2 linked regions of the Canis lupus familiaris genome follow. The protein of the gene in region 1 interacts with the protein of each later gene in a pairwise test. Links are inferred from orthologs where the notes say so. Each region holds a gene or a part of one and is shown on either strand. Other genes may lie near its edges.

Region 1 (3,962 bases):
GTCCTCCGTAGTGTCCTTAGAAAACAAGAGCTAGAAGATGGGGCTCAGAAAGGTGGGAGAGAGAACTCCCATATCCCTCCCTCATCCTTTGGGCTTGGACTTTGGGATGCCTGGGGGTGATTTTGGGTTCCAGCCCTCTGGTAGGCAGAGTCAGGCTGGGTCAGCCAGGGAGGAAAACTGTAGGGGGTCCCAACTGAAGTTGTCAGCCAGAGCTCAAGAGCAGATTGACTGTGTAGATTCCTTGGATTTACCTCTGAGGTTTAGTGAAGTCTTATTGACTGTTTGGGTCTGGCCTCTATGGCCCGTGGAGAGTTGATGGAAGGGAGTAGTGGGAGGTTTACCTTCAAGCTGTTCAGGAGAGACAGTACCTCGTGAGACCAGAGTTGTGGGGACAGCAATAATAGTGAAAGATCTCCAAAACGAAAATGAGTTTTAGAACAGTGCTTGATCACTAGGCCCAGCCACACAGTTTCCCAGAGTGATTTTGTCATTGTTGATGACCTTGGAGGATAAATGCTATTACGGGACTCACTGGATTGTCTTACGTGTAAAGATTCCCTCAGATTCTGAGAGTCTATGCAGCCATATATGTCCCTGCAAGTGTCTTTAGAATTGACTGTTTTTATTGACTGCTTTCATCTAGCTTCCAAAACGAAGTCCTGGGCAGTAGGGAAGGAGGGGGTATATTATATTTAAATCCTGGACACACAGTTTCATGACAGTTCAGAAAGTAATGATAGTTTTGATAAAAGAAGTAAAGTTTCAGGAAGAAATCAAGACACTCAAATGAGGAACCTACTGGATAGTACTAGCTGCGACAGGGGAGGGGAGGGAGGTGTGGGGAGGATAGGGAGCTGGGGAGGGGGCGTGGGGAGGGGAGGGGGGTGTGGGGACAGGAGTGGGGTGGCAAAGGTAGGCTGGCGGGGACTACCTCGAGCAAAGAGGTTGGAGAAATCAGTCTCTGTGCGCCGGAAACGGCCATCCCTGTCACTGTTTTCACAGGAAAGCAGGTTCTTGGAGGACTGCCTCTCCTTGAAGGCGCTCACAAGCCGGCTCTTCTCTTCCAGGCTGTTGGTCCTTTGCAAGAAGCCTGTAGCACAAGATGCTGGGTCAGAGGGGACGCACTGAATTCCTAGCCTCACAGGGTCAGCTGCCAGGCCAGGTCCACTCTCCCAGCAGGGCTCTTGCTTCTCCTGAGAAGCTGAGTCTCTGCATTTTATATATAAAGGCTTTGGCACTTCTGGCCTTCGGGCGGGGAAGGGGCAGTGCCAAGTGTCATCAGTGGCACAGACCCAGTCGTGCAAGAGAGGGAAACAGTAAGCAAAGCCCATTCTCCTCTCTGAACGTGACACTGAACTCAGAATTAAGTCAATTGGACAGCTTCCACTCCAGTAATCAGCCCCAGGATGGGGTTCTAAGGGGAAGGACACAATCCGAGAGGCTGCTGCTGGCACTGGGTATATGGGCTGTGCAACCAGAGGAGGGAGGGGGTGAGGACTGGCTGAGGGAGGGGGAGGCAGGGAGGACCAGCACTGAGGGCTAGGGAAGATGCTTTCCTCGGGCACCAGGTAATGCTAACGGGGTTGAATGTGTCATTTTTCTGACTCAAACCTGAAGAGCAGCTCTCTCCATACCACCTGCTGTCCTTGATAAAGGTATTGGGGAAAGAGCCAAGGAAGCCTAAAACCTTATGTGTGGCGACACTCACTTCTGTAAATACTTACTGAGCACCTATTGTGGAAAAGCACTTTGCCAAACATCGAGGACAGGGGACAGATAAAGGCAAATGAGACAGATCTCCTACCCTCCAGGAACTTAGAGTTTGGCAGATGAGGTGGTGACCAATGTTGTAATAAAGCTAGAAAGCCATCCCAGAGCTCCACAGAGCTGAACCCCGAGCCCAGGGCGGGATACAAGGCACCTCGCCTCTGCCCCTCAGGAGGAGTAGGAATCTCTCCTACCCGAGGTGAGCAGCGCCAACACCGCCAGTGGCAAACAGAGAAGCAGGTTGAGGCAAAAGGGCTAGAGACACCGCCACCTAGGAGCATACTCCTTAGTATCCACACCCCTCCCCTCCGGGGCTCAGGGCCTGCTGACCCCCTCCTTCCCTCAACCTCTCCTCCAGTTCTGCCTCAATCTTAGCCCAACAAGCCACACACTGAAAAGAAAAAGTCTGAAGCTTCTTAGTGACCCCACAGCTGTCTTTGTAGATACCAGAATCCTTGGGGGGTCATGCACATCACAAGACAGGAGTGGAGGAAGGTCCTGGGAGGTTGGAGGAGAGGCAAGTTGACCTGGGGGAAATTCAGCTTTGCTTCCCCAGGACTGCAATTCAGTGGCAAGGGGTGGAGGAAGGAGGGATGCAGGGGGAAGGCCGCAGTGATTGGAATCCTCCCACACGCAGGCACAGAGTCTATTTTTGGAGGGAAGAATAGCAAGGTAGAGTCACCAGGCCTTTTATTGTTGCCAGCATCTTACAAACTTATCCCTAAAGCCCCAAGGACATCAGGACGGGGGTAAGACACTATACCAGAGCTCCACACTGGATGGAAAGGTAGGGGTTGTATCCCTTCCCTCACCTCTCCCTCTACTTTCTGAATTTCCCATACAAACACCACGATTTGAAACCAGGAGCCAGAAGGATGTAGGAGCACCTGCCTCCTGAATTCCAAGACTGCTCCCCTGCTCCTGGAACAGTGAGCTATAGAATTCGCCAGGCTGAACAGACCAAATCCATGTGGCCTAATGGAGATGAGGTCCTGCCAGCTGAACTCCTACTCTCTCCGTCTCTCACCTCTGGTTGCTCGGACTCACTCCTTTGGGAAAGCCTTAAGTCTCTACCTTGAAAGCCCTCAGGGATGCCTTTCCTCTGGGCAGCGGCAGGACCTATGACCTGGATTTAGGCTTTGGAAACCATCTCCAAATCTGATATGGGCATTCCCAGAGGTGTCCTGATAGGATTGAGGGATGGTAATTAAGACACAACTTTAATTCTGCATCTCATCCCTGGACCGCACTTCCTGGAGCACACTAGGAATCAGTATTTGCGATAAATCCTATATTTATCTCTCGAATAGCATACTTACATCATACTATTGTGTTTAAAAGCATTAATTTGCTAATATAAACACCTAACGCATATTGTTATCAGAATAACAATTTCTTGGAAGATATTTGTTTTCTAAAATATTGGCAGTCTCAAAAAAGGTTAAAATGACTGAGGCCTTTCATGGCTCTGAGAGGCTCTGGGAAGAAATGTATGCTTCCCCAAGGATGACCAGGTGGTGGATGACATTGAAGTCAGTGCTTTGACAACTCCCCTGGCTAGCAAGGGGTCCTGGAAGCAGGGGTCCCCAAGACTGAAGCAGACCGTATTCCCTCTCGCTCTGCATACCACCAGTGAGGACCTAGCTTAAGCAGGAAGTGACCACCGAGCTCAACATTCCCAAGTGGCAAAAAGAAAAGCAGAAGTAAGCCGAAGCTGCACTTGACTTTGGTCAGCTTGTAGCACCCCCTGCTAGCTTTAGGGGCAGAACAGGAGGCAGACCGTGTCATGACTCCTCTGGGCAGTGGGGAGTTCCTGAGGCGGGTTCTTCACTCCTGCCCCTAAACTCAAAGGCCTAGGAGACCCATTGAGTGGGGAGGAGTGTAGAGAACTAGGGAGCACTTGGCCTGAGCGAGTTGCTACCAAATGTGCCTGTGAGCTGTGCATCACAGAAGGGCACACGGGGGGGTGGGGGGGGTGGGGGGGTGGGGGGGGTGGAGGCTGAAGCCCATTCCCCCTGGCTCTTGTTCAGCAAGCTGTAGAATGGAATTGCATCAACCTAGAGGAAGGAAGGAGCTTTCTCCCCTGATTTTTATGGGCTGAAAGTACTTTGCCAAATGTCCACCCCCCAACTTCTTTTTATTTCAAGAGAAGCTAGAAATTCAGAATATTTGAAGTCTTTGTTTAAAAGTTGTAT
Region 2 (4,554 bases), on another chromosome or scaffold:
GACCAGGGCACCGCATCTGGCACATGGATGGCCAGGGGGCGATGCCCAGCAGTGAGACCCTCCCTCTCAGACCTATAGAGCCAGGGCTCTTTCCTGGGGCTCCCCCAGCAGTGCTAGAGGGCGGAGCTGTCACTGTACGCCCACAACTTCCAGGCAGCAGTTTTGCCCTGGGATTTCAGTGGTGTCCCTTCATCCATCAGCCATTGGACCACCCCCTCTCCTGTCCACGGGCTCCAGCTCTTGCTTGGCAAGTGTCTCCTCCCCCAGGGCTCTTAAAGAAGTGGGAAGTACCAGGCTTACCTCCTCACCCTCCTCAATGTGGTAGTCCTTCCTGATGTTGGGGCCTCCAATGAACATGACTTTGAGTTGCTTCTGGTGCCTGCAATGAATGAGGGGGAAGAGGTCCCGAAGCAGCTCAGGGGACAGGACAGGAGGTGTCCAGGGGCCTGTGGGTGGCCTGGAAGGAAGCTGGGTACCCCTGGGAGAGGTGACAGGGCTGTTTCTGTGTTATTGTCCCTATAGGCTCTGACATTTGTCCCCCCCCATCTCAGTATAGCTGTGCGTATCTAAGACTCTGTGTGCGCGTGTGTGTGAGAGAGACTGTATGTATACCTGTGTCTTTCTGCATCTTGTCTCACTGTATTTGTGTGTGTGTCCCCAATATCCTCTAACCTAGTACAGAGGAGCAGTGTGGTGGTGGATCAACCCCTTCATCAGCCAGGATCCCTGGCCTCGTTCAAGATCTCTAATTACAGGCCAAGGAGTTTGATCTTGGCCTAAAGTGTGCCAGGGAGCCTAGGAAAGTTTTTACTGTTTTGTTTTATTTAAGTAATCTCTACACCCAATGTGGGGCTCGAACTCATGACCCCGAGATCAAGAGTTGCATGCGCTTTCAACTGAGCCAGCCAGGTGCCTCAGAAATTTTTTTTTTTAAGTCAACTTTACTGGGATATAATTTAGGCACGTACGGAAAGTTCTGGAATGAGCCCACTCAAGATCTACTTCAGCCAATCATCTAGAGTACCTCAGCCAGATCCTGTCCCTCCTCTGCTCAAACCGCTCCCCAGCAGTCTCATATGACTCCCCCAACCCCAAATTCATCTGTTGAAGTCCTATGCCCAGGACCTTAGAATGTGACCTTATTTGGAAATAGGATCACTGCAGATTTAACTGGTGAAGCCACAGTGAGGTCACACTGGAATTGGCTAGGCCTCTAGTCCTTATCGAAAGGGGAAATTTAGACACAGACACGCTGACAGGGAGAGTGCCCTGTGAAGATGAGGATGGAGATCGGGGTGCTGCAGCAGAGGCCAAGGATGGCCAAGACTGCCACCAAGCCACCAGGAGCCAGGAGAGGCCTGGGGCAGACTCTCCCTGACAGCCCTAGCCAACCCGGCGTGTGCATTTGGGGGCATGGCTCTGTTCCACCTGGTGGCCCATTGTGCCTGCCTGCCTCCACTCCTTGTCTGTTGTAAGTATTGGCTGCCTCCTCTCACCCGAACGTCAGTGCTACAAGGAAGTGACTGTCAGTTTGTTTTCTACTGCGTCTCCAGTGTCCAGAACAGTGCCTGGCAAGTACTGAGCTCAGGGAACACGTGCTGAAGGAATAAAGGCTGGGCCTGCATTTTGTGCCTGTTAATACTGGGGCTAGGCTGGAGGCCTGGGGCGGGGGCCTGGAGGCAGGGGCAACACCCAGGGTGAAGGTGACAAGGGTGGAACCAGAGTGGTATCTGGAGGGCTAGGGAGGAGCAAGGGGCACGAGACTCGGTTGGGGTGCCGTGGGGGACCGAGAACCAGGCTGCATAGGGATGAAGTGGAGGAAAGGGGTGAGGGCCCCAACAGTGGTAGAAGTCGCGAGGCCCCGGGGTGGGAGGGGGATGCTGGGTGTGAGCCCATGATAGTGCTGTGCTGCGCTGAGAGGGAGAGTGTGGACTTTGGAGTCAAGTTTTTCTAGGGGCTGGAATCTGGACCTGGCCCCTACTAGCTGAGGGACACTGGGGGAGTCACGTATTAGAATCCCACCTCACGGAGCTGGTGTGAGGACTAGGTGAGTGGTGAGAGCACCCGGCATGGCCTCTGTTTTGCCAAGGTGTGCAAATGCCGCTGTGTGGTTTGGGGTGCCACACCATTGGGAATGTTCGGCAGACACGGCAGTGTGAGCCTGGAGCTGGGGAGCACACCAGGCCCCGCCATAGGTGTGAGGGCAGGGGAGGGAGGTGAAGCGGCCACGGGGAAGGTCTGCTGGAGAAAGACTGCAGCTGAGCACCACCTGCCCTGCTGGGTGCTGTGGGCCGAGGTGAGCCCGCGCCTGCTGCGAGAGCATGCCCGCCTCCAGGGACAGGCCTGGGGAGAGCACGGGATGCAGATTCTCCCGCAGGAGCTGATCCTCTGACTTCACCCTCTGCCCGCAGGTTCTAGGGCAGTTCTGAGGCAATGGAAAAACCACCCTCCCCAAACTTCTGAGAGTCCCTGGGGGGTTGCAGAGCTATTTCTAAGCCCTGGGGACAGGGGCGGTGGCCTGCCATCTGCATCTCATCTACTCCCAGTCACCCAGCCATCATCCGGAAGCCAAGGTCACAATCCCCAGGGCAGAGTCGTCCGAAAGAGGAACAGATGAAGGTGGTGGAACCGGAACGGCCTGCCCTCCCCCTCCTCCGAAGGCACGAGAGGATGGTCGGCCCTTTCCGCGGGCTTGGGGGGCTGGAGGGTGAGGGCTGAGGGGTGCAGACGGAGGGGGGGGGCAGAGGGCCGGGGGCGGCCGGCGAGCCTGGGACTCACAGGAGCTTGTTGCAGACCGGGGGCAGGAAGGAGGCCCGGTTCTCCTCCACCCAAGTCTTCACCCTCACGGGACGCGCCATGGCAGCCCGGGAGCCGCGGCCGCAGCGGGTGCCCAGGCGGGTGTCGCAGGGGTGCGCTCCGCCCAGCCGCCCACTAGCCGCCCACTAGCCGCCCACTAGCCGCCCGGGGGCCGAAGGGCAGGGCGATTCCCCCTCCCCGGCCGCCCCCGTGACCTGGCGGGGGCCCTTCCCGGACTTCGGCCCCGGCCCGCCCGCCCCGCGCCCCCCCGGGGCCCCTGCCCAGCCTGGCGGCCTCCGCGCGAGGGAAGCGGGGCGCGGGGGGGGCGTGTCGGGGGGCCCTGCTTCCCGCCGGGCCGGGATCCCTGGATCGCGGTCGTGCGCGGTCCCCTGTCCCCAGGCTTAGCGCCCGGACCCCGCGGGGGCCCCGAAGACCGACCGTGGTGGGAGGAAGGCGGGTTTGGAGCCCCGAGCCCCCGGGACGGGAGCGCGGCCGGGATGGAAGCCTCGGCGTCCCCACCCGAGAACCCGGAATGTCTGCGCAGCCACGCCGGGGTTGCACAGCGGCCCCCACGGCCCCCACGGCCCCGACGGCCCCGACGGCGGCAGCCCCGTGCGCCCCGGGTCTGGGAGGAGCCGCGAGCCGGGAAGGCCGGGGACGGGACGGGGCGGGGCGGGGCGGGGCGCGGGGCCCGCGGACCCTCTCGGCTTCCCGGTGGCGGCACCCACGCGGCGCCGGCGCTGTCCGAGCTCCGGCGGGTCCTAGGGCGGGTCCTAGGGCGGGTCCACGTCACAGGACAACTCGGCGCGGGTCTCGCAGGTGCAGAACCGGGCGCCTCGGGGTGCGGGGTGGGCTGGGCGGACAAGCCTGCGCCCGCGATTGCAGCCCCGTGACCCCGGCCCCCGCCCCGGCCCCTGCCCTCGGGGGCGCGCTGTGAGGTCGGAGACCCAGAGAAGCGGGGAGGGAGCGGAGGAGGCGAAGACGGCCTGACACCTGCTTTCCTCGCAGGCTCCCGGGCTCAGGATTCTTAGGGAAAAGGTGCGCGTGTGTTAGAGGCGGGTGGGGCGGGGGAAGGAAAGCAGCCGGGCTCGGACGCCGGAATCCAGGCGCCGGAGTCTGGGAAGTGCGGCTCCTCGCGCTGCAGCCCTGCGGGCCCCCGCCCCGCCCCTGCCCCGCCCCTCCGACGCCTCCCGCGCAAACCCCAGCCCGGCGGGAGGGGAGAGGACCGCCACCCACCTGGGCTGGGAGGACCCTGCAGTCGCCTCTCCACGCCCACCGCCTTTCCCTCTTTGTCCGCCTTTACATCTTCTTTTTAGTTATTTTTTTTTCTTTTTAGTTATTCATTTAGAGCTTTTTTTTTTTTTTTCCTGAGCATTTCTTTCTCAAAAGTATTGCATATTGTTTGGCACCAAAACAACTCTAACGGTATTCTTTGTCTGTCCCCTGTAAGTAAGCCAGAGGAGACGTAAACAGTGACTCCTGAAGCAACAAGGACCCATCCATGCATGATAGGTGAGGTTTGTTTTGGATGTTAACTGGATGCTTGGGTAGTGGGTGGATAGAGGCATGAACAAATTCCCACCTAAAGAGAAAAATTCTTAGCTGAACAGATGTTCTGTTACATAGTACAAAGGAAATGATAGTTACCCTGCATTTTAATTTATGAAGTCAAATAAGGTGAGTAATTGAGGCCACAAGTTGGGGTCTGAATTATCCAGATGAACCCTAAACACAGGCTAAACAATCTGCTGTATGGTC

What was found.
Region 2: the proteins of GAD1 (region 1) and HAAO interact in a two-hybrid assay, tested with the Homo sapiens proteins (4 studies listed by BioGRID and IntAct). The two-hybrid records come from large-scale screens. The link is inferred for Canis lupus familiaris from reciprocal best matches to the Homo sapiens genes GAD1 and HAAO.

What each region holds. Positions count from the first base shown.
Region 1 is NC_049257.1:15,670,943-15,674,904, reverse strand, and holds part of GAD1 (glutamate decarboxylase 1), read right to left. Parts: intron 1,091-3,962; coding exon 932-1,090; intron 1-931.
Region 2 is NC_049231.1:46,436,882-46,441,435, forward strand, and holds the start of HAAO (3-hydroxyanthranilate 3,4-dioxygenase), read right to left. Parts: upstream 2,947-4,554; 5' UTR 2,859-2,946; coding exon 2,779-2,858; intron 380-2,778; coding exon 301-379; intron 1-300. UniProt on the Homo sapiens protein: Catalyzes the oxidative ring opening of 3-hydroxyanthranilate to 2-amino-3-carboxymuconate semialdehyde, which spontaneously cyclizes to quinolinate.